7 linked regions of the Kluyveromyces lactis genome follow. The protein of the gene in region 2 interacts with the protein of the main gene of each other region in a pairwise test. Links are inferred from orthologs where the notes say so. Each region holds a gene or a part of one and is shown on either strand. Other genes may lie near its edges. The genes, in order: PIH1, LSM8, KLLA0_F03707g, MTR3, NOG2, LYS9 and PCF11.

Evidence for each region.
Region 1: the proteins of LSM8 (region 2) and PIH1 interact in a two-hybrid assay, tested with the Saccharomyces cerevisiae proteins (2 studies listed by BioGRID). The link is inferred for Kluyveromyces lactis from reciprocal best matches to the Saccharomyces cerevisiae genes LSM8 and PIH1.
Region 3: the proteins of LSM8 (region 2) and KLLA0_F03707g interact in a two-hybrid assay, tested with the Saccharomyces cerevisiae proteins (2 studies listed by BioGRID). The link is inferred for Kluyveromyces lactis from reciprocal best matches to the Saccharomyces cerevisiae genes LSM8 and YNL050C.
Region 4: the proteins of LSM8 (region 2) and MTR3 interact in a two-hybrid assay, tested with the Saccharomyces cerevisiae proteins (3 studies listed by BioGRID). The link is inferred for Kluyveromyces lactis from reciprocal best matches to the Saccharomyces cerevisiae genes LSM8 and MTR3.
Region 5: the proteins of LSM8 (region 2) and NOG2 interact in a two-hybrid assay, tested with the Saccharomyces cerevisiae proteins (2 studies listed by BioGRID). The link is inferred for Kluyveromyces lactis from reciprocal best matches to the Saccharomyces cerevisiae genes LSM8 and NOG2.
Region 6: the proteins of LSM8 (region 2) and LYS9 interact in a two-hybrid assay, tested with the Saccharomyces cerevisiae proteins (2 studies listed by BioGRID). The link is inferred for Kluyveromyces lactis from reciprocal best matches to the Saccharomyces cerevisiae genes LSM8 and LYS9.
Region 7: the proteins of LSM8 (region 2) and PCF11 interact in a two-hybrid assay, tested with the Saccharomyces cerevisiae proteins (2 studies listed by BioGRID). The link is inferred for Kluyveromyces lactis from reciprocal best matches to the Saccharomyces cerevisiae genes LSM8 and PCF11.

Annotation. Positions count from the first base shown.
Region 1 is NC_006039.1:884,531-887,315, forward strand, and holds PIH1 (Pih1p), read right to left. Parts: upstream 1,503-2,785; coding exon 501-1,502; downstream 1-500. Other genes in the region: PRO1 (glutamate 5-kinase), read left to right, coding at 1-370; ERC1 (Erc1p), read left to right, coding at 1,860-2,785. UniProt on the Saccharomyces cerevisiae protein: Involved in pre-rRNA processing and required for the NOP58-snoRNA interaction.
Region 2 is NC_006041.1:1,467,258-1,469,210, forward strand, and holds LSM8 (U4/U6-U5 snRNP complex subunit LSM8), read right to left. Parts: upstream 792-1,953; coding exon 501-791; downstream 1-500. Other genes in the region: methylthioribulose 1-phosphate dehydratase MDE1, read left to right, coding at 1-462; TDA10 (putative ATP-dependent kinase), read right to left, coding at 1,830-1,953. UniProt on the Saccharomyces cerevisiae protein: Component of the nuclear LSM2-LSM8 complex, which is involved in spliceosome assembly. The LSM2-LSM8 complex plays a role in the biogenesis of the spliceosomal U4/U6-U5 tri-snRNP complex by accelerating PRP24-mediated annealing of U4/U6 di-snRNA.
Region 3 is NC_006042.1:350,139-352,785, forward strand, and holds KLLA0_F03707g (uncharacterized protein), read right to left. Parts: upstream 1,323-2,647; coding exon 501-1,322; downstream 1-500. Other genes in the region: Golgi transport complex subunit COG5, read left to right, coding at 1-455; KLLA0_F03729g (uncharacterized protein), read right to left, coding at 1,578-2,647.
Region 4 is NC_006042.1:1,688,687-1,691,099, reverse strand, and holds MTR3 (exosome non-catalytic core subunit MTR3), read left to right. Parts: upstream 1-1,202; coding exon 1,203-1,913; downstream 1,914-2,413. Other genes in the region: CHO2 (phosphatidylethanolamine N-methyltransferase), read right to left, coding at 2,095-2,413.
Region 5 is NC_006039.1:1,670,945-1,674,947, forward strand, and holds NOG2 (putative GTPase NOG2), read right to left. Parts: upstream 2,523-4,003; coding exon 1,716-2,522; intron 1,236-1,715; coding exon 501-1,235; downstream 1-500. Other genes in the region: CCR4-NOT core DEDD family RNase subunit POP2, read right to left, coding at 1-46; RNA-binding ATPase activator ESF2, read right to left, coding at 2,892-3,773. UniProt on the Saccharomyces cerevisiae protein: GTPase that associates with pre-60S ribosomal subunits in the nucleolus and is required for their nuclear export and maturation.
Region 6 is NC_006039.1:1,663,010-1,665,975, forward strand, and holds LYS9 (saccharopine dehydrogenase (NADP+, L-glutamate-forming)), read right to left. Parts: upstream 1,839-2,966; coding exon 501-1,838; downstream 1-500. Other genes in the region: MSO1 (Mso1p), read right to left, coding at 1-98; KLLA0_C18755g (uncharacterized protein), read left to right, coding at 1,903-2,259; OCA4 (Oca4p), read right to left, coding at 2,867-2,966.
Region 7 is NC_006042.1:1,243,916-1,247,625, forward strand, and holds PCF11 (Pcf11p), read right to left. Parts: upstream 2,265-3,710; coding exon 501-2,264; downstream 1-500. Other genes in the region: KLLA0_F13420g (chromatin-silencing protein SIR4), read left to right, coding at 1-230; GGC1 (Ggc1p), read left to right, coding at 2,731-3,633. UniProt on the Saccharomyces cerevisiae protein: Component of the cleavage factor IA (CFIA) complex, which is involved in the endonucleolytic cleavage during polyadenylation-dependent pre-mRNA 3'-end formation and cooperates with cleavage factor NAB4/CFIB and the cleavage and polyadenylation factor (CPF) complex.

The sequences.
Region 1 (2,785 bases), on a different chromosome or scaffold from region 2:
CTTGAAGAACAGACAATTCTGGATGCTTCATGGACTCGTCAGTCAAGGCGCTGTAATTATAGACATTGGTGCATACGAAGCGTTAACGAGGAAAAACAAAGCTGGTTTGTTACCTGCAGGCGTTATTGAAGTCCAAGGGAGCTTCCATGAACATGAATGTATAGATATAAAATTGGGAGTCAGGGATTCAGATGGAAATTTGGATAAATCCGTTGCACTGAAAACAGTAGGTAGGGCTCGTTGCAACTATACAAGCACAGAGTTATCAAAAATTAAAGGTCTGCAAAGTGATCAGATTGAAGATATTCTAGGCTATGCTGATAGTGAATACGTAGCTCATAGGGAAAATTTAGCATTCCCTCCTCATTAACCTAAAGTGAATGAAAATATACTTTACATGTTACGTTTAACTCTCATACACGTAGCCCTTTAATAAAAGCATATATAGATAATCGAACATCTTGCATCAATTTATATATATATACGGCCATATTGAGATTTTATAAAAATATTATTAATCTGCGCTCAGGCTTCACAAAGAAACACTCTAATTTTGGAGGATTATTAAATATATCAGGTAATGGAACCTTGAGTTTCTTCTCGGGATAAATACCTAGATTAGTATTCTTTATGATGAGTTTATTACTTTTAGCATCATATTTGATATTGTAATCAAGACTAGAGTTAAGCTCCGAGGTCACTTCTATCTTTAAGAGAAACTCTGAGGTGTCTTTGGGTTTGCCCATACTAAGTTCATATGATATACTTTTTTTTTGTATTTCTTCAACCTTGGGTTTCTTGGTTTCATGCAGTGAAAGATCCTCGATTTCCTCTATTAAAGGTTTTCTACGGGAAGATTGGTCGATAGGAATTAATGGCGGCAGTTCACCCGTCGAAGGTTCGTCTTCTGCAAGAAAGTCTCGCCTCTTTTCGATAATACTAACAGGTTCTTTTTGTTCCCTATTTACCAAATCATTGATGGTTTCTTCATAATTCTCTGTTAGGTCTTCTCGCAGTATTTCTAGTTCAGGTATAGTATCACCTTTCTTCTTCAGCTTAGGGAAACTTATATTATCCCTTGATATTTCGAGCTCCGCTCGCAATTCACAGGATTCTAAGCACCATTCAACTACGATTTCTCTTAGTTGTAAATCATGCTGGATCCATGAAACGCATTTGGTGTTTATACAACAATCGCTCACGTAGCAGACGTTGCCCTTTTTGTCAACATCCTCCCTTATTGAGGAGGTTACGATTGGTATTTCCCATTGGTTGTTGATTATTAGGGGATATACTATGGCGGGGTTGAAATCGATTTCAGGTAAGGGTATCTGGTCATTATGGCAAATGTTGATGAATATCTTTGCATTGCTTGATAGCGATGTAGTACCAGGGTTTATTACCTTAGATTTTACGACAAAACATGGTTCTGGGCTTATTCTTATAACGTTGTTGGAGTTGTTCGAGCTGCTATCATTCAATGGTCGAAGAAGAAATGACATTGCACCTAATTGACGGTATGTACTTTCTTATTCTTTTGTTTTTTTTGTTCCTATCGCAGTTATCTGCTAAGCGATAATATAGAATTTCACAATCAAATTCTTATTAGCGATTATCAAAACTAGTGCTTTTTCAACGTAGATAAGGATCAATTATATGTACACCAAGACGAATAAAAGGTTCGTGTCATCGGAACGTGCTCGGTGGCCGTTCAATCCATACTGCCTGGCTCAATACAACATTTTGGGTATTAATACCTTTAATTCTGGAGATTAGTTTTTTTCATTCCACTGTTAATGGACATTCAAACTGGTTTTAAGATAAAGAAGGGCATTACAGGTTAGTTGAAACAACTAGACATGAATCAAGAGAGTGAGTATCTCTGTGACTCTATGGATAGACCGCGATACGATACAATCAATGACAATACTAGATATGAAAGTGATGGAGAATCTGCATCTTCTGGCGATGCCATAGACAATCGATATCGACTAATGAGTCCAGATGCAGATCGCGATGACTTTATTGACGAAGACTTCATAGAGGATCTTACTGCCCCAACAAGCTCTAGGAATGAAGTCTCCTATATCTTAAGCAACTCCGCTCTAATTACATTAACTTTTCTAATGGAATACTCTTTGGCTATTATTTCTTTATTTGTCATCGGTCATGTCTGTAAATCAAGTGATGCCTTAGCTTCCGCATCTTTGGCGGTAATGACTTACAATATTACTGGTTTAGCATTTGTGGAGGGTATGGCCACTTCTTTGGATACCTTTTGCTCACAAGCGTATGGTGCCAAGAAATATGCAAAAGTTGGTTTATATTCATTCCGTTGTGCAGCGATGATAATGACAGGTATTTTCCCTGTGATTATATCATGGTGGTTCAGTGCTTCATGGTTAGGTTATGTGATTGCTGAACAGGATATCCTCCCAGAGATACAACTTTTCTTGAGAATAATATCGTTTGGGTTGCCAGGGCTGATTTTTTTCGAAACTGGTAAGAGATTCCTTCAATCACAGGGCCATTTCCAAGCAGGAACATACTCCTTGTTGATTACAGTTCCAGTTAATATTATTCTAGTGTATTCATTTACTCGTTACATTGGATATGCTGGTGCTCCTCTAGGTATCGCCATATCGCACTGGTTTATGGCCTTAATGCTACTGGTTTATTGCAAATTTTGGAGAAAGGAAACTCTGATTTGTTGGTATCCCATGTTCTCTTCAATGTTCCACTTTAAAAGATTATTTTGCAGCTGGAAACCTATGTGGAATTTGGC
Region 2 (1,953 bases):
ATTGTTAAATACAATATACAGGACGATACTTATCAATGTGGTGCGCCTGGATTGAAACCCTCTGCGTGCACACCGTTATTCCTGGAGCTATTCAAGACGCTGGGTGCCTCGTGCGTCATACACACGCACTCTATCAATGCGGTGCTTTGTTCAATGATATATGAGAAGGAGTTTACCATCAAGGACATTGAACAAATCAAGGCGATACCCAAAGGTGACGGTACCAATTTGAGGAACGTTGATACCCTACGTATTCCAATCATCGATAACGCTCCAGAAGAACAGGATCTCATGCCAGCGTTGAAGCAAATGATTAAGGATTATCCAAATGCATGTGCGGTACTGGTGAAAAGACATGGACTCTTCGTTTGGGGCCCCACGCCAAAGAAAGCCAAGATATACATCGAGTCCATCGATTACCTCTTTGAAGTAGCTCTCAAAATGAAAGAACTCGGTCAATGAAAGGGAGACCAGCAGCTGTGTATAACATTATTTATATTTCATCTGTTAGCCCATCGCTCACTCCAAATGTCTATTTCTTCTTTAAACGGTAACTTATTCTTACACGCTGGGAACTTCTGAAGTTTTGCCAGTTCTTTTTCTTCTGGTATATCATCTATCAGCCCACATAATACCACTTCACTACTCCGTATAATGCATATCTTGCTGTCCTTTAAAAGAATCATGTTTCCCGCATGATCAAACCCTTTCATTTCACCATAGTATGTGTCTCCATCGACATTGACCAACATCACCTTCTTGTCCAAATAATCTTTCAATAGAGCACTCATTGTCCATTCACTGTTCTAGCAAACAAGGGGGCAGTTATGTGGATATCTTCGCTCCGATGGATCGTTATCTTTTCTTCGTTACTATTATAATTTGAAAGTAATGTTTTCTATTTGAAGATTCTCTATTATCAATAACAACAACATCTTCAACAAAGAAGAATCACACATCATAACAGAAGTATACAGGCTTCTACAGCAGTTATCTAGAGTTGTGTTGTGGCTAATATTGTTAGAAGCTCCGAATCACGGTTGAAATGGCGGAAGAGAATGAAAGTGAGACCGATTACGGGTCTTCTCCCTTTAAAAAGATTCCAGACGCCGACAAACAGATCTTAGAATGGACTAGTCGTCTAGAGTTGGAGACTGTGCAGTTGCGGGACACGTCTGAGAGTCTATTCAAGATTATCAAGGAGAACGTGGATGAATTGAGCCATTCGCGAAAGTTATTCCAAGCAGAACTTGACAGTAGAAAAGGTATGGTTTCTATGCACAATGAAAGGAATATCTACTTAGTATAAGGGCATTTACTTAGTTCTATCTACGTGGATTGGTCGTTGATTGATACCCTTTAGGAATGATTCTTTGTAAGAGTCACTACGGTCAGTTTTTACTAACTAGGAAAATAACGGATGAGACTCCGAGAAGTCGCCGTTATTTCTGTGTGTATTTAGATGGTAATCAAGAAACGGGAACGGAGATTGTCTCTGAAGTAAAGTCTCGTTTGGATCAATTAAAGGCATCAAGCGGTGAAAGTTTGCAACTTTTAGCGGATAATATTACGAAGCAGATGGATAAACGACATCGAGAATGGATGGACAGATTTACCATGAATGAAAATGTCATGTTCAATGTCGTGCAACAAATGCAAGACCTCACGGATGCCATCCAGACGTTGCATGAAGATATGAGGTTAGCTAGCAAGAGGCAGGCGTTGCTTGAGAAAAGATTGAGACATGAATCTATCGCTACGCCTGAATCTCAACACCTAAATCAAAACCAGACACAACGACTCAGGGTATTAATCCCCTGGGAAGAAGTTCAAGAGTGCGAAATGAAATGATTGACCACATTTCTGTCGGCATCGATGGCAATGGTAAGATTTGTTTTGCCGAACGCGGTGTTCGGGTCAATGAAGTTTTTATAATATAGTTCATAACAAGGC
Region 3 (2,647 bases), on a different chromosome or scaffold from region 2:
CAGTAGATCTTTTTGATACAATTGACAAAGTACTCAGTTCAAAAATTCAAACGACGGCTCAAGTGCTATCTAAGACCATCACATCCATTAGAAACTTCAACCTGTCATTAGATGATGCCATGGAAAATAGAAACTCGATACTCACTTTACAGAACTTAATGGAAGAATGTGAGATTGAAGGAAATACGAACACTCTTCGCAATTACCTATCTCAAAGGAAATTTTCCTCGTTGATCGATCAATTTTGGTCAAAAGTCACTAATAGTTTCAAAAGAGATTTCGAAATGTCCTACAATCGCGGTGGACCTGTCGGGAAATCTCTGCAAAGCAATTCCAATCTAATATATGAAGCCATTAGTAAATGCTTCGGTGAAAATGACCCTAGTAATGAACTACAAGGCGAACTGCAGTATATCTTGAAAGCCGTTAGTATATTAGATACAAACAGGAAATAAAAATCAGGCTTATATTTGTATATATAGAGTAACAAGACTGGTCCTTTATGGTTTAGCCTTCGCCTTACTTATAGCACCTGCATCTGCAAGGGGGTTCGTAGCCTTCTTTTTGTTTTTCTTTCCCCCACGCTTATGGAACTTCTTCTTTAGTAGCTTCTTTATCTCTGAATCTCTTTGCTTCCTCAGATCTTCTCTCTCTTTACCGTGTAATCTTGCCATTCTCTGCCTTTTACCTGGCCTTTTTCTCCGTAAATGCCTGATACGAACCTGCTCTGTGTGGACTTTACGATTATGCTCATCTACATCTATTACTTTTCCTCTGAACTGAAGCCATCCGGGATACGGTCCCAGCTCAGCATATTTTAATATTACATCTGCAGACACTGCGGCTGCAGAAAAGTTATGTCTGTCCTGCTCTGAATATTCTGCACAGTAATACGTTCTTGCTCTACCTATTGGAGCTGAGTCTGGACTCGGTTCACGAAGGCTGACCTTTATTAGGGCCGTTGCCTTTCTACCTCTGTTTTCATCTGTCTGTACACTTTCGCCAACATCATTCGCGGGGGTTGTTGAATCGGTAATGGTTCCAAAAGAGAATAGTGGGAATTCAAACTCTTCTGCGGAATTGTTAACATCCGATTCATCATTTCTGTCCGACTTTATATTGTCTTCTTGTTGAGTTTGAACGTCGACGAATTCTAGATCAAGCTTCGGCAGCACTACACGATCATCAGTCGCTGTAACGTTAGTCGTGGTATCAAAGAGCTCATTTCTCGAAACAACTCTCAAACCAGACATGATTGATTTGTTGAGCTTTGCAAGGTGTTCCTGAGATGATGATGAAAAGATACGCAGATTACATCTCATCTCCTCGTATCGTCATATTTTGACTAACTTTTTGATCTTATATATACATGTATATTTTTTTTAGCATATTGGCAATAGGTGTAAGATGACAGACAGTCGAAAGTAGCCACAGATAGTTTGTAATGACAAACATGTATTCTTATGTTATACATATCACTTGTGTAAGGTTGTGTGCAAAGTAAGATTTTGCTATTTCATGGTTTCAATATCTACATAAAAAATGGTATGTACGCAACTTGGAAGCACCTTTTAAACTTACTTCGAGATTCTTGTCTTCATGTTTTGTAAGAATTCTCTGTAGTTCCAGCTGTTTTGGACCTTATCTTCGACCAACTGAGATGCAGTCCATAATCTTAGAGAAGCAACTTCCCTGGCAGAAGGATGGTTCATTGGTTCACTTGGTGAGGCGCCTCTGACAATGTGCAAGGTTTTGTAGAAGATAACATCATCGTGTTCTCTTATCTTTGTAATAACATTCCTCACTCTTAGGTTGAACTCAGTAGCGTCTAATAGAGGTAGTTCATTTTTACCAATTGGAATTTCCATAATGTCCGGGGTTCCAAACACGTCTGTAACAAGCTCTGGGACAGCATCACCGCCAATCCATAAGAACATGTCCAATCCTGTGTCGATTAAATACAGACCGTATCTTTCCAATAAAGACGAGGTGGAGTTAATTGGTTGCGGTAGTACAATTTCACCAGTTTCTTCATCGGGAAGACCAGCTTCGTCAGGCATGTCATGTAAGGAGTATACTGTTGGATAAATGTTTTGAATCAAATATGGCAATGGTAACGTTTCAAGATTATTTAATGCTTGAGCTCTGTGATCAGCCGGAACAATACCAGAACGGAAAGCCATATGTTTAGTTAGAGAATGCATCAATAGAGGCCACATTCTTAGGTTACTACAGAGCATTAATGGAGCTCCGCCACCTGTGTTTGAAGTCAAAACTTCTTTCTTGTATGTAGCCAAAACCTCTTGGACAGATTTGTTGAAAAATTCTCTAGTGTCTTCAAAGCCAGAAGAAGGAGCTCTTTCCACAGCCTTTTGAGCGAAGTATGCTGTGATGGCCAACTGATCTGCAGAAGCATAGACTTCAGTTAGCTTATCAGTAGTTGGAATACCAATAGTTATGACTCTAATTCTTCTTTGGGCAGCATTGGATGTCAATAATAAAGCAATTTGAATGTACACAAAGTCCTTTGTTAATTGTTCATCGATACCAATTTCAAAAACGTATGATTGGTCCCTTGGAACCGTAGCCAAAGCGCACAAGTCTGAAGATCTATTGAAGAAATGACCGTAAAATCCGGTCATTTTCA
Region 4 (2,413 bases), on a different chromosome or scaffold from region 2:
TACATTAAGTTCAATATACTCGTTGTTCCCTATGTAAAGATGTATGTTGGCCTTATTCAACGGCTTTCTGCCTTGATGTTCTTGTTTTTACGATTCAATCTCTCTTAGATTGTTAGTTTTTGTTCAAGAAAAAAGATTGTAGGTTAACTGTCATTCATGATATTCTGTCCTACTGCAACTTGTTTGAATCAATGGACATTCCAAGTTATATGGTTAGACTTTGAGCAATATTCGCAGAGTAGTTTGATTTTAATCAGAGTCCTGGGCTATTGGTGGGGTGTAATATCAAAAATCTTTATAATTTCTGCCAGATGCCTGGAAGAAACGTTACACTAACAGAGTCGGTTTAATTCAAAAATGTACTTTGGTCATCCTTTTCTTCGGTGGTTCAACCAATGAACGAATGACTTGCCTTGATTCTTGAAACCTATGCATGAAAGAGCTTCTGGTGAGAGCATTAGCGAGGGTTCGGCTTTCGATCTGGTCCAAGTGAATAGCTTCTGACTTTGTCTTGATGATACACCCAGAAACGATACTGGCTTTTGTATGTACGACTGGCAAGGCGGGTTAGAGTGGGGTGTTTTAGTTGCCAAATCCCAGGTTGTGAGGGGGGGGTCTCCGTCTGCCCCTCCACCGGTTTGCGAAAACGGTCACCTGGCATGAACCGGAAACAAGTGCTGTTTGGAAACATATGAGAAACATATGAGAAACACCAGTTAGTCACGTGGTTATATAACTTCACAAAGCAGTTCTCTCCGTTTCCTTCTGACGTATGAGGTGATGAGCCGAAAGCTAGTACACGACTCTTTTTCAGAAATACGGATCTATTACTATTTACTGGTTTGACAATACCGGGCGACAGCCACTTCTTCTGTTTAGAAATCATTTCACACGTACTGATCGTCGGTTGATTTGTAAAAAAGTTCCAATGCTGCCTGCCGATAATTTGGAAACAAGTACGGTACGGAAACAAACGGGAAACAAATAGGAAACACATATATATTATCACGTGATGACGTTAGAATTTTTCCATCTCGACTATTTCAATCGTGGTATTCTGTTAGTGACCGTTTTGCAAGTGAATATACATGCGATGAGATGCTTCCAAGTTGACGTTGGCTAGTGCCATATCAGCATATATTTACTTGAGTTTGTTTCCCATCGTTATATTAAACTAATACCCACAGAAGAGAGGTCTATTAATGAGTGTGCAAGATAGAAGAAGAATATTAGGGCCAGCAGAAGCGAAGCCATTGCAGTTTGCTGCAATTACTCCTGTAAGAACCGTAGAGAACAGGGACGATGGTAATGGTAATAAATCGGGTAAGGAATCTGTGTTCATTAGTACGGATTTAGTAACGAATGCAAATGGTTCCTCATACCTAGAATATATGGATGGTACTTCGGATCAAGTTCTCGTAATGAGTTCTGTCTTCGGACCCAGGCCATTGCGAGGCTCCTTCCAATCTAAGGCATCAGTATCGATTCAGTTCAAAGAAGTTACGTTAGAACATTTGAATACCGGAGAAATTAAAGAAATTTGTACTTTCCTAACAAATGTCTTTAATGCGGTGATAAACGTTGAGAAGTATCCAAAATCTGGTATTGATATCTTTATAGATTTGATCCAGCATTCTAATAGTAATCCAACAGAGGAGGCAAATATCGTTAATATTCTACCCACATGCATTAATTCTATTACCATGGCTCTTGTAGACGCAGGTATTGAAATCATTGATTTAGTGAGTGCCGGGTCAAAAGATAACTCTGTGGTTGCGTTTATTAGGAATGGACATGAAATCGTCGGTATTTGGAGCGATGACGATAACGTCACTGACATATCAAAATTAATAGAAGAGTGCAAGGCAAAATATTTGGTAAATAAGCAGACTTTGGTTCAATATCTTAAATGAAATGAAATGGTTAACGTAATTTCATAGTGATTCATAATTAATGTGACACGAACGCTTCTTCTGTATTAGCAAAATAAAAATATACAAGGCTTTACCATTAAGGGTGAGGATTCGTTAGAAACATATCCTATTTATACATGGGTTGATACTTTAGATATAGTTAAGTACAATAGAATGCGATTTATTCCAAGTTATCTAACACTTGCTTGATTTGCCATACTTTTTTGGTGATAATATCGATATCAAAATTGGTACGTTTCATGTAAACAACGGAAACATCGGTGTCCATAGTAGACTTATACCAGTTTTGTAATGTTTTCCCAGTGAAATATTTGTTCCTATTCAAATCAAATTTATTATCATTGATTAGAACACCACATTGTTTCAAGAACTGCTTCGTGGTAGCAATTAATTGGTCCACGTCTTTTACAGTTTCTTTAAATTGAGGGAATAATAACTTGAAAGGTTTCGAGATCATAACAACATCGTGACTGTTAGCA
Region 5 (4,003 bases), on a different chromosome or scaffold from region 2:
GCTCCGAATTTGGCAATCCTCCGAGCTGACTATTAAGAGATTGCATTAAAATTCTATCGTACTTACTGGAGTAGTCCTAAATGACAACTCTTAAATCAGAATTGAATCGTATTCCAACCATATATGTCTCTGTCTCTTCCTTATCTAATGCTAAAGGCTTTCCTGTTTCGTTCCTCTTTGGCAGAAACAGAATTTTCGAGGGAAATGTCATTGTGTACGGTGTTGATATTACCACTGGCACCACTTCTCAATGGACAGTGGACCCGAATGGGTCCATTGTCCAGTGTTTCTGCCCCTGATCTGCATGCTTCACAACGTTCGGTGTTATCCAGCCTTTCTACTATTTATTTAATAAATTTCTATGTGCAAGACTTAGCCTAAGTCATCCGATTGATATTAATGTACAAAAACGATAGATCCGATAAGATTGTATATGGTGTGTCTATATATAAAGCGATGCCCGTGTCTGGAGAGAATTAAATATTGAGGAAGTGTTTGGTTTATTCCTTTTTGGCCTTTTTAGAAACAGGTTCTTCTTGTTCCTCTTGCTCCTTCTCTTCCTCTTCTTGATCTTCTTGATTTTCCTCTGCAGGACGTTTCTTATCACCAGGTTCCTTTTCCTCAATCTTGTCCTTCTCTGGTGGTGGTACGAACCATGGGATCTTACCTCTGTTGAAATCGTTCAAGATTTGTTTCGATACCCCGCTTTCATCTGGTTCACCACCTTTCAATAGTCTACCTTGCTTTCTTGCAATCATTTCGATGAAATCTACAGAGTCTTTCCATCCGGAGATCTCATAGGTTCTTTCCAAATGTTGTCTCTTACAACGTTTTAGAATACCTGGAATGTATTGTTCAGGATGCGAAACGTGTTCAACTCTTACCACACCTCTGAATAGAATATCCTCTTCACTGTCCTTGCTGGATGGCGGTACAATACCGGGACAATCGATTAAAAAGATTCTCTTCATCAAAGTTATGTATTGCCACACCTTAGTTTCACCAGGAATAGGTGCCACTTGACAGACCTTCTTTTTCCTTAGAGTGTTGATGATTGAGGATTTACCGGTGTTTGGATATCCAATGAACCCAACAGAGATTTGATGTCTGTCCTTATGCAGTTGTGAGAATTGACGTAGAAGTTGAATTAACGAACCCTTACCAAATGAATTGGTAATAGAGGCATGGAATGCCAATGTGGGACGTTCCTTCGATAGATGTTTTACCCATGCTGCCTGTTGAGAATCAAAAATAGGGAAAATCGTGTTAGTAAAATTGTAATCACATATGTGAATCAATAACCAATTATGCTTTCTACTGGGGGTTGACTCCATGCTGTATTGAGTATATTAGTGGTGATGTGAGGTTCTTTACTACGAGCCATGGCATAATAATTCTTTTCAGATCCAAAGCTCAACTCTTAAGTTCCTCCGTACCCGAAATAAAAGCGCTGATATATCCTCAAAACGAAGATTGTTCAACTAGGTTTCAACCATGACTCCATCAAAACGATGGATAGATCGAGGGTGGGTAGTATTGCTCTTCCAAAACTGTAACAGGCCCTTCTGTATGTGTAAGTTGTACTAGAATGTACGCAGAAACACCCTGACAAAGAATTTTGGTATTCTCAAGATACTGTGGTATTCACTCCCAGTTAGAAAGTATAATCGGTTAGTAGTAATCACTGAAGATTAAAAAGAAAGTTTAAAACATACGGCAACCCATGTAGGAACAAGATCACACTTGTTCAAGACGTATATCAAATGTTTATGAGGAGTCTCATTGGTCATGTAATCAGTCACCGATTTACAACGAGTCCCCAAAGGATCTCTAGCATCCAATACGTGGATGACGACATCGGAGGAATCGATAACCTTGTACAATTCGTTCCAAATACGTTTCGACTGACCTTTGTGGAAAATGGCTTCCTTTGCTGCCTGCGTCCAACCGTCTTCTTCCTCTTGCTTACCCATAAGCCCCAGAGTAGAATCCAATTCTTGCTTTTCTTCAAAAGTCTTATTATCGGTAGAAGTACTTGAAATCAACTCTTCCAACGACGACGCAGCGATTCTTGGTTTCTTCCTCTGAGCCTTAGGCCCAAAAGTTTGTTCAAAGGGCTCTGTCTCCAAAATCTTTGCCGTTGGAGATTCAGCGGAATCCTTTTCGTTCAACAACGACATCGGAAGTTTATTTCTTCTCAATAGCACCTGATAAGAATCACGCTTGTTCTCGCCCAAAGCTTCTCTGAAATGGCTCAATGAATCCTGAGAAATAACTCTGGTATTACCAAACCATCTACGGTCAGGAGCCACTCTTGCTGTTGGAGCAGCAGTATCCTGCAACGGAGCAGCCTTGATAATGTCACCCTTTGCATTACGAACAGATCTACCACCTTTGTACATGTTCAAAAACTGCACTCTCTTGGTGTCCCTGTAGAAATTCTCACCCTTCACACGAAGGTTACCATCCTTGGTATTACCTTCGCGGATTCTCCTTTGCTTTTCCTTCTTACCGGTACCCATTGTGCCTTGGTATAGATTTCAATTAGGTTTCCTTTGGTTCGTTCGTTTGTTCGTTCTTTGTGGTAACGAACACGTTCAATTTCGATCGAAAACTCAAACAGATGGAAGAATAAGTAACTGAATGTCTCTTGCCTGGACTGAGATCAACCTGAATCGAAACAAACCACTGATGAACCTGCCTTTGTTCCTGTTCCAATTCATGAGATGAGATGAGATGAGCTGGAAAATTTTTTCTTTTCACTTTTTCTTACACTATGGGAATGAAAAAGAAACCTGATCTTTGACCATGGGAATGGCAGGCGATGAGTTGTACTCTCTGTAGGGCTTTTGGCTTGGCTATATGCTTTATATATGTGTTATATAGTCATCTTAGAATAAACTATGCATGACATCGTTGAGTGCTTTCGATTGCGGTTGGGATTGTCTCTGAGAATCTGGAGCAGATGCTCTTGTCGAAGCGACTTTCCTCTGTTTGAAAGTCCTGCGAACTTCTTCATCGACCTGCTGTGATTCTTGTTGGTTACGTTTCTTGCTCTGTTTCATCTTGTTGACCATCTTTGATTTCTCTACGTTATGGATGAACTCTGCGTTCAACTTGTTGGCCTGTGAGATTTCCAATTGTAGCTTTGCTTGTCTGATATCGTTTTCTCTAGCGATTTGTTCTGTCAAATCGGCCCATTTGAACCCGGGCAAGTATTTAACGTTCATGACGTCGTCATGGTAGAAATTTCCCTTCTTACCACCGATAATATTACCGTTTAGAGTCGATGCGCACAGTTTAGCGTCCTTCTTTCTGATAAACTCGGCCCAACCTTCTTCAAACATCGTTTTCTTGTTCCCACCACTCTTGACACGCTGCTGGTGCTTGTGCTCCTCTTCACGTTTCAAGAACAGACGGTCCACTTCACCGAATCTTGTGAGAATCTGCCTTAGCTTGGCTGGTTTCATGTACGGTGGAACCCTCGATAGGTAAACCACACCGGTCTTGTGTTTCGTCTTCTTATCGCTCTTAAGCTTTTTGAGTCGTCTCTGCTTTTCTTTCTCTATCTGCTGTTCTGTGAGTTGTACTACCTTATCCTCCGGTTCTTCTTCATCCTGTACTTCCTCGTCCTCTTCCTCTTGCTCTTCCTCGTCCTCTTCTTGATCAAACTGAATCACATTCTTCTTCGCATCCTTCCCAGTGATCAACACTTGGTTGTCCTCTTCTTCGTCTGACGCAAAATCATCCACATCGCTGTACTCCTTGCTCATCGTGTTATTGTTGTCCTTAGTTAACCTGCTGAACCTTGTGGTCTGTTGTCTCTTCTCTCATGTATATGGTTCATCTCATCTCATCTCATCTCATCGCTTTAGTTCCAAATTTTTCAGTATGGCACTCACTGTACAGAAGAAATGGGAACCAATCGTACTGGACGACGGACCGATACCACAATGAAGTAACGGGTCTGTAGCCGGTGTTTGCAGCCTGTATGGCCGGAGAT
Region 6 (2,966 bases), on a different chromosome or scaffold from region 2:
TCAGTTTTTACTGCTAGATGTTGAATGGATGAGGATAACGATTTCGTTCCTGACTTCACTTTGCTCCACAGATTACCGGACCCATTGCTATTCGACATGATCGGCTCCAAAGATGTTTCACTGCTGAATATGTAAAGTATACCGATGGACAAATGTTCTGATTCGCTTCGTTCAGTTGATCCTTGTTAGTCCTGTATGTTTTCTTACAAGTAGTTGTTGAGAGTATTATAATATGTAACTAATTATAATTATATGAGAAGAGATGCCAAACTGTAACTGATACAAAAAGAACACTCCAATAACACACTATAGACAACACCCACCAGTACGATACGTGCCACAAATAGTAACTCCAAAGATAACGGGATTTAAAGCAATATAGCTACTTTGTTGATATACATACGTACACGTTAATATATATAGAAGATGGGAAAAAGAATCATGCAATTCACTACCAGAGAGAGCATTCTTTAGATTTCAAACCAACGTATATGAGTGCTTCAAGCAATGGTTTTCTCTTTTAGGTAAATACCGTATTTCTCCTTTAGTTCCTTCATGATAGGATCGTTGATAGCTGGAGAGTATGGAGCAACCAAACCTGGGCCCTTGATGGTACCGTCCAAGACGAATTTAGTAGCGATGGCGACTGGGTAACCGACAGTAGCAGCCATTGAGGAGTATCCACCGACCTTACCGTAGTCCACTAGAGTAGAGGTTCTAGTTTCAGTCGTTCCGTCGGCCCATTCGATACCGAACTTGTGTTGCAAGACGACTAAATCTCTTTCACCTTCTTCGTATTGCATCAATTCCTCTAGAGTAGCACACAAGGTGTCCAAGACATTACCTCTAGCGTTGAATGGCTTGTCAGAGAACAAACCTAACCAAGCAAGACCAGAAAGGATTCTTTCTCTATCGTCGTCTGATTTCCATTGTGTCTTTGAATCGATGGCCTTAATTAGATCCTCTTTCTTTTCTGAAGCAGCACCTAAGTATTGTGCAAGAGCCTTGTTCCAAGGCTGTGGAGAAGCAAACAATTCGTTTGGTTCGTCCTTTAGCATACCGATATCGACCAAAGCCTTCACGAATTCTGGGAAACCTTGATATCTTAGAGTACCTCTGATGACGGTATCAGCTTCTGGAATATGGTACAATTCTTTGAACAAAGTGGAATCTCTGTTTGGGTAACATACGAAAGAGTAACCTGGGTAGATGAAGTAAGGCTTAGCTGAGGCCATCAAATCTTCGGATGACACAGTCTCGATCTTACCATCTTTCCAGTACTTAGCACTGTTTCTCAATGCCAACAAGACACCTCTTGAAGACCAAGAGAACTTGTAACCCAATGGATTGTCAGAATCTTCTGGAGCTGGTAGACCACCACAGTACGACACAAACGACTTGATCTTACCACCAACCTTGTGCACTTCGTCAATGGTCTTGACAGCGTACAAATGGTCGATACCAGGGTCCAAACCAATTTCGTTCATGACGGTGATACCAGCTTCCTTGATAGCAGGTTCCAATTCTCTTAAGGCATCGGAAATGTATGAAGAGGTAACAACGTTCTTCTTCAATCTGATAGCAGATTGAACCACAGCTGGATGGTAAGTGTATGGGATCAATGAGATCACCAAATCGTGGTCAGCCAATGCAGCGTCCAATTGTTTTGGATCGGAAACGTCCAATGAGATGGCATTAGAACCAGAAGCTTTGGCCAAAGCTTGAGCTTTGTTCAAAGTTCTACAAGCGACGGTGACTGAAATACCATCAGTAGCGGACAAAACGTCGACAACAGGTTGAGCAACAAAACCAGATCCAAGAAGTAAAACTTTAGACATCGTTAATACGTTGGTTGCGATCACAGAAAGAGTATTTTCTTGAAGAGATGATGATCTGTCTATTATGGCAGGAAAGATAGCAGGTTGCAATTCTGTTACCTCAACTTATATAGTCACTATATATATATATATATATATATTACAAAAGTCAGTAAATCATCAAATCAACAAGAGTAGTACCAGTAGTAGCAGCTCATCAAAAACTCACTATTCCTGCTCTCTGTCGTTATCCATCTCGAGCGATGTGCCATTGAGATGGAATTTTACAGGTTCCGGTTCACCAATGTGTTTTGCGAAATTCCATTGGAATTTCGACAGCCGAGGTACAATCGAAACGGCAAAGCTAGACAGCCAGACAGCCAGACGGGGGGACCACTGGTCTGGGGACAACCCACCATCTATTAGTCATTCTACAAACTGAATGAAGCTCGATGAGGAGGGAACTGAGTTCCGATAAAGACTTGAAGACATGTATGGGATAGTCAGTGTACGTTGGTATGCACGTGATTTACGTTGAGGTATGGGGAAATCAAGTTGGTGGTAGTGGCGTGTAGGCCACTACCACCACCACCACCACTGGCATACCCCCTTAGGGCATGAACACACTTCGTGTATTTATCTCAAAGCTCATCTCATCGCCCATACAAAAATTTTTCAAAAATTTTTCACTTTAAAAAGGTCCGTAGCAGAATTGCATCCCATCTCATCTCATCACCACTTTACAACATTACATATTTGTACACATACATATTCTTTCTGTTTCTTAAACAGCATGGGACTTTATCTCCATGTCTGTGACGTATTATTCTAGATAGCCATGGTAAACGAATCCCATATATCGACTCTTAATTCTTTCCAACATGATGCGAAAGCGTCCTGTAAGCGTTAGGAGGCTGGCCACAGAGTGGATTTGTTGATCAAGAATTTAATCGTTCTTACCTTATTCACAACCTTTCTATTTTGAAGGCCAGAAACAGTAACCAGCCGTGTGTCTGTGTTTGTTTTTTTTTTATTACTTTAGAGCATCATCATATAAATATACTCTCTTTGTAGTGATTGTGTTCTTCAACGGCATGCTGTTGATCCCAAATGTCTCTTTGGAACTTGAACCAGTTCGGCAATGCCTCT
Region 7 (3,710 bases), on a different chromosome or scaffold from region 2:
ACATGACAGCTAAAGTCAAGGATCTTGAAACAGCGTTGAGTCAGTCTAAAGAAAAAGTGGACCGTTACGAAGAATATTCGTCAAAATCCCAGAAAGTCGATAAACCTCGGCCTAACGGGGAGGATCCCGTCGCACTCAAAGAAACCATCGTTCGGTTACTGAAGGAACGCAAGAAACTTACCGCTATTTTGAAGAACCAAGCTGAGTCGAAGGAACGTGATCCGAATTAAAGCGTGTCGAGATAAAGAATTCCCGTAAGAAGAAAAACAAAATCCAAAGCACTTCTATGCAATAGATAGCCGTAATGAAATAGCATATGTTTTCTATAATGCAGTTGTAACATTTAGGAAGTATATATATATATAAATACCATATAGCACTATATTATATTCGTACTTCCATTTAGAACGAAATTTGTAGAAGAAAATGGTACGAAATTCATGCCGATAAGCCAACTAGAGTTCGAATATACAATTGATCAGCACTAGCTATTCATCAACTCATTGAAGCAGCTCGTTAAAAATACCAAGATCTAATTGAAGATTTTGGAATGATGGAGATGAGGAGGTGTTTGACTGTTGACTTTTAGCTGCCTCATAATAACAAGTGGCATGGAAGAATTTGTCTCCCACCTGTACGCAGTTGCTCCAAATCCATTCTCCCAGATCTTCATCATATTTACCATATGTGGATTCGGTACAAATAGGACACTGGAACTTCATATCTGTGGCATAATCCGGTACTACAATATATTTATTCCTGAGTTTAGTATAGATTGCATCAGTAGAATCTTCCCTGTTGTTCGCAAATGTAGGTTGCTGTTCAGCAGCTCCAGTATCAATATCTGTTGCAATGATGTCTTCTTCTTTAAAGTCTGCCCATTGATTTTCATCCAAATACCAATTCCTGGATTGAATGACCTTGGTAGATGTAGTGGTGTTGGACTGGATACCTTTAATCTTCTTGTTGACACGGAAATGCCAATCAAGATGTTGTATTTCCAACTCCTTTTCTTCAAGAGTATTACCAAATCTCTTACCACATATACTACATTTATTAGGTTTTGCCCGATATAAGAAATGTACCAACTTTTCCGTAATTGGATGGTTATCATTAAGAACAAACTGTTGAGAAAGCTGAAGGACAGATGCGTTCAAAATATCTAGGTTTTGCGTCTGGCGTTGCGCCTCTAGATCACCTAGAATATCCTGTAAAAGTGAATATGACGGTAGTTGCACTGTCTTGGAGGAATCAAATTCAGGTTCTAATTTGGCAGCTAAGGTAGTAATAGATGCTTCTCCAGGTTCATGCAAGAGCTCTTTTTCTCTCAACATGTTAACCAAACTAGAAAGCTTATTGAGACGGTTAGAGTTGGTCAGTTGGTTCAAAAATGGAGCATTAAATTGAAGGCTTCCTCCGAACATCGAGCCGTTGTTACCGTTCGCCTGGAGTGAGCCACGAGACATATCATTGTTTACAGAACCTTGAGATGATGGCGGCAGAAACTGAGAGTTATTTTGTAATGGCAACTGCTGCTGCTGCTGTTGTTGTTGTTGCTGTTGATGTTCTTGCGCAAAAATCTGTTTGAGCTGCTGATGAACTTGCGACAAAAACTCCGGTGCCAACCGTTCCTTCTGCAACTCTTGTCTCAACTGCTTCAATATCGCTACTTTTGCCTGCAACTTGGCGTCATCCGGTGTACTTACTAGCTTCGACTGCGTAATCAGCGCTAATTTATCAATATCCGACAGTAACGATTTCACAGTAATATTCGACCCAGCCGGTCCGTTGTGAGCGGTATGTTGTTGTATCGCCGGCGGAGTAGCACTTTTCTGATGCAACGCACTAGCCTTAATCAAAAAATTCTCGATGCTGTTCAAAGAACTATGATCGAACATCAAGTCTCCTGCAGGCAATGGCACCATCCACGTTTTGAACATTGAAATCATCTTGGTTCTAGTCTGATTATCCACAAGTAAATAAGTTTTACGGAACAATTTATGCAAATTCTTAGAGAAATAGATCGTATACGGAGAACCAGCGTTCTTACAGATAGAATCCATTACATAGAAAGTGAAAAGCTTCTGACTAGGAACACATTTCTCCAGTCTATTTTCAATCAAACCCACAAACTCTTGTGCTAAACTCATATGTTCCTCTGCTAACTGCGTCAAGGTAGTAATTATAGGCCGAGAGTTAAACGTAAGACCATCCAAAGTGGTCTTAAACTCCTCTAACGCATTAGAACCATCTTCAGAACTCATAGAGAAATCCCAACAAAACTCGGAAAAAAGTGTACCAAAATATAGCAAACAATTACTATTACCACAAACTAAGCCTCTGGATACTAGTAAGCGCTCAAATAATGAATCATACGGCCTCTATTCCTTGCCTCTGCTCATCGTCTTTAAAGGTTTCCTTATCCTAATCCTGCATCTTGTAACGTTTTGCTCGGTTGAAAGAAAAACCGAAAACATCACCAGATCCGGGTAACGAAACCACACTTTTTTCTTTTAAAAAAAACCTTTCGAGATATCGATCAAAGATTCTTTCAAGAATGAATCATCACTGTTTTTATCTATCTTGCCTTTACGTGCATCTGGCTCCTTTCTTTCTCGTGCGAAACTTTCAACAACGTTTATTAAGAGTAGAAGCAGGAATCTCACTAGGTGAAAAGGGTCTTTCTTTTAATTTCTTATCCATTTGAACTAAGAAGAGCTGGAAAAAAAGATGACTACCAACGATAAGAAACAATCGGGTTTGGCCCGTGTCTTAGGTTCAGCTTCTGCTGGTATCTTGGAAATTGGTGTTTTCCATCCTGTGGACACTATTTCCAAGAGATTGATGTCAAACCATACCAAGATTGCCTCGACCTCTCAATTGAACAGTGTTATTTTCCGTGACTTTGCATCTGAACCATTGGGTAGACGTTTGTTGTCTTTGTTCCCTGGTTTGGGGTACGCTGCTGCCTATAAGATCTTGCAACGTGTTTACAAGTACGGTGGTCAACCATTTGCCAATGAGTTTTTGAACAAGAACTTCAAGGGTGATTTCGATCAAGCTTTTGGTGAAAAGACCGGTAAAGCCTTGAGATCTGCTACTGCCGGTTCTTTGATCGGTATCGGTGAAATTGTGCTATTGCCATTGGATGTCTTGAAGATCAAGAGACAAACTAACCCAGAGTCTTTCAAGGGTAGAGGTTTCCTAAAGATCATCAAGGATGAAGGGTTTGGTTTGTACCGTGGTTGGGGTTGGACCGCTGCCAGAAACGCTCCAGGTTCTTTCGCTTTATTCGGTGGTAACGCCTTCGCCAAGGAATATATCTTGGGTTTGAAGGATTACGGTCAAGCTACTTGGAGTCAGAACTTCGTCTCTTCGATTGTTGGTGCTTCTGCTTCATTAATTGTCAGTGCACCATTGGATGTTATCAAGACCAGAATTCAAAATAGAAACTTTGATAACCCAGAGAGTGGTTTCAAAATTATCAAGAACACTTTGAAGAACGAAGGTTTCACTGCATTCTTCAAGGGTTTGACTCCTAAGCTACTGACCACCGGTCCAAAGTTAGTGTTCTCCTTCGCTCTGGCTCAAACTTTGATTCCAATCTTTGATAACTTGGTCTCTAAGAAATAAACCTTGGATTCAAATACAAATTCATGTAAATAATGTTATTAATTGCTACTATTCAATTCTTTTTTTCTATATGTATA